Linked DNA regions of Ovis aries. The protein of the gene in region 2 interacts with the protein of the main gene of each other region in a pairwise test. Links are inferred from orthologs where the notes say so. Each region holds a gene or a part of one and is shown on either strand. Other genes may lie near its edges.

What was found. The genes of interacting proteins can lie anywhere in the genome.
Region 1: the proteins of DDI1 (region 2) and CYGB interact in binary tests that used the Homo sapiens proteins (3 or more experiments, as listed by UniProt). The two-hybrid records come from large-scale screens. The link is inferred for Ovis aries from reciprocal best matches to the Homo sapiens genes DDI1 and CYGB.

The regions. Positions count from the first base shown.
Region 1 is NC_056064.1:54,558,995-54,563,701, reverse strand, and holds the start of CYGB (cytoglobin), read right to left. Parts: upstream 2,952-4,707; coding exon 2,809-2,951; intron 1-2,808. UniProt on the Homo sapiens protein: Probable multifunctional globin with a hexacoordinated heme iron required for the catalysis of various reactions depending on redox condition of the cell as well as oxygen availability.
Region 2 is NC_056068.1:4,094,716-4,098,660, forward strand, and holds part of DDI1 (protein DDI1 homolog 1), read right to left. Parts: 5' UTR 623-3,945; coding exon 1-622. UniProt on the Homo sapiens protein: Probable aspartic protease. Seems to act as a proteasomal shuttle which links the proteasome and replication fork proteins like RTF2. Required, with DDI2, for cellular survival following replication stress.

The sequences.
Region 1 (4,707 bases), on a different chromosome or scaffold from region 2:
AATTGCTGCCCAAGGTTGCCCAGCGGAGTGGGTAGCAGGACCAGGAAGGAGCAGGAGCAGCTCCCACATTGATGACGTCCCCAGTCTATCTCAGAGGCTGCTCTGCCGGGGATGGTGGCCTGGGACCCAGTGGGTCCGCTGCCCAACAACACCCAGCGCCACGTTACAGCCCCAAGGAAGGACAGTCCTGCCCTGTCCCTTTTCTGAGCCATGAGAGTCTAAGGGTCTGAGCTCTGCTCCTTCATCCCTCTCCCGGGCCCCCTGTGTTTACTCCTGACCCTCTCAGTCCTGGCCTGAGCTGCTGCTGGGAGAAGCCTCAGCGGCCAGCCTTGGGGAGTTTCTCAGCTTCCAGAGGCATCTGGGCTTCCAAGAGAGCCTGAAATAGGCCTGTCTGTGTGAGGGGGAAGGCGGCAGTTACAACTGGGAGGGGAGCCCCCTGGAGCATGGGTGCTCCCTCTTGATCTCTTCCAGCAGGGAGAGGAGGTGTGGGGTCTGGGCGGCCCCTCTGCTCCCTTCCTTGTGGCTGCTGCCTCCTCAGGGGGTGAGACTGGCCCCAGGGCTACTGTCTCGGGCTCCACCTGAGCTGTGGATGGCCCATCAGGAGGTAGTCAGGACAAAACGGGGGCGGGGGGTGGGGTGCAGGATCTGAGGAGGGGCCTGCCCTGGGAAGCTTATAAGTCTTGCCCCCTAACACCGCCCACCCTGGGGCAGACAGCAGGTGCAGGAGTGAAAGAAAAGGGAGGTTGGTGGGACGGAGGGTCTGCTCCTCCAGCTTCTCTCCCAGGCCGGGCTGGGCTCTGGGCAACCAAGGTGGGGTCAGGTGCAGTGTAGCCGGGGGTTATCAGCAAGCCAGATCTAACTGCTATCTTGGTCTTCTTGGGTTACTTGTGGGCCTGGGCACTTGGTAAACACCTCCCCAGCCCAACCCAGTCCCCTCTGAGAAACTAGCTCCCCCCAGGGAACTAGAGGGGCACACAGAGAGAAAGAAAACCTTGCCAAGAGCTCAGACCCTCCAGAAACACCTCGGGGGTTCAGTTGCTTCCTCGGCAATTCCTCACTCCCCTTTCCTGGGGAAGTTGGGTGGGATCCCAGGAGCGGAACTGTGCACACATCTTCTGTGCTGGGCTTAGTTGCTCATTCGTGTCTGACTCTTTGCGATCGCATGGACTGCAGCCCGCCAAGCTCCTGTCCATGGGATTCTCCAGGCAAGAATACCAGAGTGGGTGGCCGTGCCCTCCTCTACATGTCCTTATTGGCAAATGGCAGGGTTTGGGGACAAAAAATAGCCATGGTCCTGTTAACCTCGCCTCATTTCCTCCTGGTGACCTGTGCGGGTATCCGCGTGCATCCTGAGGCCTCAGTGCTAAAAGCTGCCCCCCCTCCCCACCTGGATGCAGCCTGATGCATCTCTGACCCTGCGACCCACCGTGTGGGTGCTTGATAGTGCCGAGATGCACCTCCCATGTCTGATGGCTTGGGAACCTGAAATCCCCTCTTACTTCCCCATCACCCCGGCTGTTTCTGAGCCTGGGAGCTGCCCAAATAGCTGTCTCTTCCTTGGGCGCCCTCCTGGAACTCCTCAAGTGTGCTGCTTGCTCTTTTTTTCCTCCAAAATCTGTTACTAAGTTGGAATCAGGGCACATCATTATGGAGCTGGGTAGGTCCCAGGCTTGGGGGAGGCAGAAGGGAGAGAGTGTGGGAGAAAAAGAGGAGCCAGAGATGGGGCCAAGCCTGGGAGACAGGCATGCACTTCAACTGTCCTTTCCAATGGGAGGTTTCACCCCATCTTTAAACTAAAAGACTGCCCCGATCTGTCCTAGATTTGATAGCTTCCCTCTGCCAAGGACAGACAGTTGGGGGGTGAGTGTGGGTCTGGGGCCTCCATGCCTGCACCCCCCAGGGACCAGCATGTGTGGGAAGAGAGCAGTGATCTGGAGCTGGAGTCAGGTACTAGCTTATGCACTCTGTGGGGATGGCATGCATGTGCACTGACTGGTGTGTAGGAGTGTGAATAACAGTGTCACTCTGTGTGTGCATCCCTTGGGGGCATGTGGTTCCTGAATGACCCCTGAGCCCAAGACCCATGACCTTTCCTCCCCAGACCTGGGGTTCAGGATGGGGCCCTGTCTCCTGAAGCTTCTCCCTTTCCCTCCATCAAACTCAGCAGGGCCTGTATCCGCAGGGACTGTTCACTTCTCCACTCACCTGCACCTCGCCTGGGAGCTCCCTGTTGGCCCGGCCCCAGGGGCAGGAAGGGACCAGCTAGGAAAGTGGGACCTCTGGGGTCCACTTCTTCTGACCTCTATTCTTTTGCCCTTTCCGAAGCCCTTTCAGGTCTCTGCACAGGGGAAGGGGCTGAGCTGGAGAGAGGGGTTTGCTTCTCTTTGTCCTCCTTGGCTGATCCTCAGTTTTCTTGTCTCTAGAATGGGGAGCCCCCATGACCCCTATTGGAAAGGCCGTAAAACGTGTGTCCAAAACAGCTGCGGGTGGCTGAGGTCGCGGCGAGGTAGGCAAGGCTGGCTGAACCAGGAGTTCTGAGGCCCGGGAGAGGAGGGGGATGGAGATGCCTCCCTTCTGTGTCTGGTTCCTAGTTCCTGGTGAGCCCCTCGCCCAGAGCTAGGAAGGGCTCGGCCAGGGCTTCGCCCACCCCAAACCGCCCCAGGCTACCCGCAATCCCCAGACCGGCCCGGGCCCCAGTCGCAGCTGGGAAGGTGGCGCCCGAGCTCGGACCCGGGCCGAGCCCGCCTCTGCCCGGAGCCGCTGCCGCCGTCCCTCCTCCGGGCCCGGCCGGGCCGGGGCGACACCTACCTCACAAGGATGGCCACCCCCACGTCCTCGCAGTTGGCATAGAGCCGGGCCCACGTCGCCTGCACCGCCTTCCTCTCCGCCTCGGACAGCTCCTCGCTCCGCTCCCTGCGCTCAATCTCCATCTCGCCGGGCACTTTCTCCATGAGCAGCTCCAAGCCCAGCCCGGCTTCGCTCGGCGGCGGCGGGGCGCGGGGCGCGGGGCGCGGGGAGCCGGGGCCGGCTGCGTGCGCGGCGGGCGGGCGAGTGGTAGAGCGCGCCGGAGGGAGGGAGCGTGTCTGTCTGTGCGCGCCGGGTGTGTGTGTGTGTGTGTGTGTGTGTGCGCGTGTGTAGGGTATATGTGCAGGGGGCGGGGGACCGCGAGCGGGGGGCGGGGATGTGGTCTGCTGGAAAAAATGTGAAAAAAAATAAATCCGCTCCAAACCCTCAAACCCGTGTCCGTGAGCCAATTCCGGCAAGGTGAAGGCTGGGCGGGGTGGGGGCGACGCGGCCGGCGCCTGCCCGCCCTCCAGACCGGAGTTTGATGGCCGGGCGGGGCTTGGGCGTAGGTGTGGCGGAGGTACTGGGGGTCCCGGAAGGAGGGGACTGGCAGTCACCGAGTGCGGGGCCGCGCGGGCCGCACAGGAGTGCGCCGCGCTGGCGCGGGTCTGGGGGCGTGTGTGCACCCTTCCCGCCAAGGGGAACTGACTCTGAGTCAAACACTCCCGGGCATTTGCGGCGTGGCCGCGAGCCCGAGGGGGCGGACGCGAGCCCCTCCGGCAGCGCAGCGGTGGGAGCTGAGCTCCCGCTCGACTCCCGCCTTCCCGGAGCCAGCGGGGGGCTCTGGTGCCACCCCCAGCGCTCCGGACCCCAGACTCCGAAGGGTTTGGGACTGGGGTCATCTCCCTGCTCCAACACCCTACAGGAAAACTCCGGTGCGGGGACAAGAGGGCGGCTGTCGAACTTGAGCGGCCAAGAGGCCTGACCCCTCTTTCCTTCTCGCCAGCACCCCTCCCCCTCGGTGCACGCACGTGGCCTCAGAAAGAAGGCCCTGGAGGCCCTGGGTGACTTACCAATGACACAGGCAGGCCAAAAACTGGCACTCCCCTAATGCTGGCCCTGGAGGAACAAAGTTTAAAGAAGAGGCACCCGACTGGGCAAAGGGGCCCTGTGGTGGGGATGGCAGGATGTCAAGAAGTCCTGGGGAGGGCCAGGATGCTGGAGCCATCTCAGCTGCCAGGGCCTGGGTTAGGGAGGGGTTCTGTGGCTGGAGAAGACAAGTCCTGGTGTTGTAGCCACGCGGTCTGGAAAACAAACTCACTCAGAAGGACAATGCAGATAGTGGAGTGCAGTTTATTACACCAGCGGGCCCAAGGCAGGGTCTCCTCTTAGCCAAGGACCCCGACCAGTTTTTCTGAAAACTTTATATACCCTAAGTGTACGTGCCCAAACCCACCTCCCCAAATTCCCTGAAACTAGTCTGAACAAAGGAAAAGAAAGATCCAATCAAAGTTAACCCGTGATTCATATGCCTTAAGCCTAGGTAGTTAACACTGGACAATTATCAATAGGCCTGTGGTCATACCCCAATAAGCATAATAGGATTTATGATTCTATTCGGTTACACAGATAATTAGGGTATTCTCTTAGGCAACAAAGAGTCTAGCTACGAGCCCTGGGGTTCCATCCAGGGGGCCTGGTTTTCCAGTTGGTATGTAATTTCCACAGATACTGGGCATAAAGCTCAAAGTCTGCAGTTCAGCCCAAGATGGAGTCCTGCTTTCAAGATGGAGCCTGTTCTGTCTGTTTCCTCCTTCATTCCCCCCTCTTGATGATCTTAACTCATAGTATGAGCATCATTCATAGGGATATACTGCACCCTGACTGTCCAACCTCTAATTTGGGAGAACGACATCAACCTTT
Region 2 (3,945 bases):
GACCCGGGCCTGCCTTCTCCCCAGAGCCGTGGCGCCTGGAGTGCTGGGCCGACTGGGCACGCTGATGCGGCCGGGAGCTGGACGTCCCAGGCAGGGCAGGCCCCGCTGGCTCCGTGCGGCAGAGGCCAGCCACCCGCTCGGGGGAGCACGGCCGTACGGCCTCCTTCTGCAGTAAAATGACCATGTCGCCGTCCTTGAGGCCGAAGGAGCCCAGGGAGCAGTGATCTTCGACGAGGAGCCGCTCCATGTAGACGATTTGGGTCTCCTCGGCGGGGATGCCAGACTCCAGCTCACAGAGCACACGGAAGTTGTGAAGCTCAAAGTCGGGCCTGACCTGCAGGGAGAAGGTGGCCTCGGAGAGGTCCCTCCGCACGCAATAGACTGTGAGCAGCATGGCCTGGGCCCGGGAGGGCCGAATGGACAGAGGGCATCGGGCAGCTAGCTGGCTTGACTGGAGCTGGTCTCCGTGGATGGCTGGGCTGCTTCTGGTGACGTAGTGTCTTGCGCATTCACCTCCCCGGGAGATGCAGCCACTCACCGGTCTGGGGGTAGTCTGCCAGCCTCGGTGCCTGCTGCTTGGCTTCATGGAACCCTGCAGGGGCATTTGTGTTCCAAAGTCCATTCATATGTGTGCTGCTTGGAACGTATACCTATTGTTCCCATAGAAACAGTCACTCCAGCCCATTTAGTTCTAAGACTAGTCCTTCAAAGCCTATTTGACCCACAGTCTGAAAAAGATTGTTTCAGCTTTCCCTAAACAACATATTAGCAATCTGTTCATTTAAGAATTGTATTCTGTACTTTTACTTAACCCCCAAACAATGAGTACTTGTTTCCTACACAGCAAATATCAGGCTAAGTGGTTGGTATAAAAAATGATGGATGAGACATGGTGCCTTTCCTTGAGGATCTCATATTCTAGGGGTAGACTGATGGGAAATGACTAAATCACAATTCTGGAGGTCAGTACTTTCAGACGTGTTCAGCATACTGAGGGATTCAGTGGAACAGAGGATGTCTCTCTAAAGAGGAGACAGGTGGATGTTGAAGGATGAGTATTTCCCACGTGAAAAGTGGGGAGAGTCACTCTAGACAAAAAGAACTGTATGCATAAAAGCAACAATTCATAATAAGGTCTGTTCTTTCCAGAGAAATGTGATACATCAAATGTAATAGGAGAAAAGTGTCCGTGAATTTGAATGGCAGGCTGTGAAGCTGGAAAAAATTCATTGTAGCCAGTTTATAAACAGCCATATATGAACCCAAGGAATTTAAGCATTACCAATAAACAAGAATCCTCCCCTCCCCAACCCCACTCCAAAAAAAGATGGGGAAAAAAGAGAAAAGAAAGGAAATGGAAAGGATTTGAAGCAGGTCTTTGTGATGTTTATTTGTTTTATTAATTGATTTAAGCAAGAGTTTTCTCACAACAAATCAAAGATATAATTTGGCAGGAGAGTCAGCTAGAGGTTTTCTCAATGGCTCAAGGAAGGAGCTGTTGCTGAAATGTGAAAATGTAGGAGACAGTGAATAATTGTAGTGTTTCCTGAGTAGAATGTGTTTACCCGTTGGATGTGGGAGCAGAATTGTGTGGAAAATCCAGAAGTTCTCTAAAGCGAGAGACTGGTTAGAAATGTCATTGCTTTGAACAGATCAGTGAGGTGAACCTAGAGGAGACCAATTTGACATCAGTTCTATAGGAAAGAACTTCTCTGGTGGCTCAGACGGTAAAGCACCTGCCTATAACATGGGACACCTGGGTTCGATCCCTGGGTTGGGAAGATCCCCTGCAGAAGGAAATGGCAACCCACTCCAGTATTCTTGCCTGGAGAATCCCATAGATGGAGGAGCCTGGTGGGCTACAGCCCATGGGGTTGCAAAGAGTCAGACACAACTGAGCCACTTCTCTTTCTTTCTTTCTTTTCTTTCTTTCTTCTTTCTATAGGAAAAGGCAGGGTAAATGCCATACTGCTTCACACTCTGACCTGAGGGCACAGCCTCACTCCATGCTGGGCTCCAGACCCAAAGGCAGGGGTAACATGGTCCTTCAAGGCAATGGAGATCAGGTAGAAAGCCTAGAGTGCCAGTTGTTTTTCTTTGTTTCACTGTGTGTTTCCACTGTAGAGAGGTCATGTCTTCCTAGCTTGGTCTTCCCAAGTGTACTTTTTTATGAGCCAAAAGATAGTCGACGTCGTCTGCCTCATCCTCTCTCCTTATTTCAAGTCTTGTCAGAAGACCTGCACGGTTACTTAGAGAAAGGCATTATATCAGTCTGAAGAATTTGGAGAGGGGTTCTGTTTCCATGTGTCTGTTTCAGGTGGAAGACTATATCTGCACTCATTGCTCTAATCATCCTAAGGTCTCATGCTCACATTCATTTACATTTAGAATGTTGGCTGAATGCCTACTGTGTGTGGAAAACATGCAAAGTTTTGGGGGTGCACATAAATAATGTTAAATACAAGCTGTGTTCTTAAAGGACATACACACATATACCTACACATTGGGAGTTAAAAATACCACAGAATCTGGCAGAATGTAAGAGATATTAGTAGTATCTGTAGAACAAATGCAGAATATGGATAGGACTATTGGGCATGGAAGGCTTCCTGAAAGAGCTGAGTTTATGACAATGACAAGTTGGTCATGTGGGAGTAGGCTAGCAGGGAGAACAAGGCCAAGAAACCTGCCTGACTTTAGCTGGAAAGGCAGCACCTCATGACAAGGAGGACTTTACAGAATTTTAGGGGAAAAAACCTAGTGTCATAATGTTCTTGTAGAAAATCATGAATTATTTAGAATTATCTTTCACTCTTTATGGAGATGGATGGCCCTTTGGCCAAATAATAATAAGTTAATAAATGTCTTCTGTGGTTCTTAGTGTCCAGATAAGCCCATCAGAGATCAGTAATGGTTTCTCCTAAGTTTGGGAACAACTGTAATGAAGATCCCCTAGAGAAGGGATAGGCTACCCACTCCAGCATTCATGGTTTTTCCTGGTGGCACAGAAGGCAAAGAATCTGCCTACAAAGTGGGAGACCTGGTTTCAGTCCCTAGGTTGGGAAGATCTCCTGGAGGAGGGCATGGCAACCCACTCCAGTATTCTTGCCTGGAGAATCCCCATGGACGGAGGAGCCTGGTGGGCTACAGTCCATGGTGTTACAGAGTCAGACACGACTGAGCTACTAAGTACACACACATGCATAATGTGAGACATGTTCATATGCAAATTACTCTGCTAAGGAGCAGATGAAAAGTTAGTAGGGCTCACATTCCATATTCCTTTCCCCTACCCAACCAGCTTTGAACCGTGGTTCTTAAAATATTGATAAGTCACGAAGGTAATACTAGGACTTTTTTTTTTAAGCAGTAGATAAAATTATTTTCACAGAATAAGTCTTTTTTTTTTTTAAGCAAAACAAGTATTCAGAATTCATGTCAAAATCAGCCAGTATCTTTTTTCATGTTACCCTGCCTTGATACTGAATGCCATTAAATTTTATGTAGTATCTTTTATTATCTTGTAATTCTTTACCTTTGGTGGCATTTTGAATTTATGTGCTTTTTTACCTTTTACTGAGAACACACAGTGGAAAACAGAGAGACTCAAAGTCTGGCCAATTAACTGTCATCATTCTATAGATCACAGGATGTCAGGATTGGCAGGGAGCCTTCAGATTCTGTGGTCCAGTCACTCATTCAGATCTTAAACCTCAATTGCCAAATAGTCTGGAATCTGAAAAGATAAATGCAACCTCCTGTTTAGTACTTCAGTTTGTATATTCTTTGATTTTTCTTTTCATTTTACTCAGTATTACTGGTGATTCAAATATTATATGTATAATTTTTTTGCCTCAAAATTTTAAATAAAAACCTCTTCTAATTATGTAATAAACTGGGGAATAATCTGGAATATATAAAAATACTCATAAATGTAAAATATTT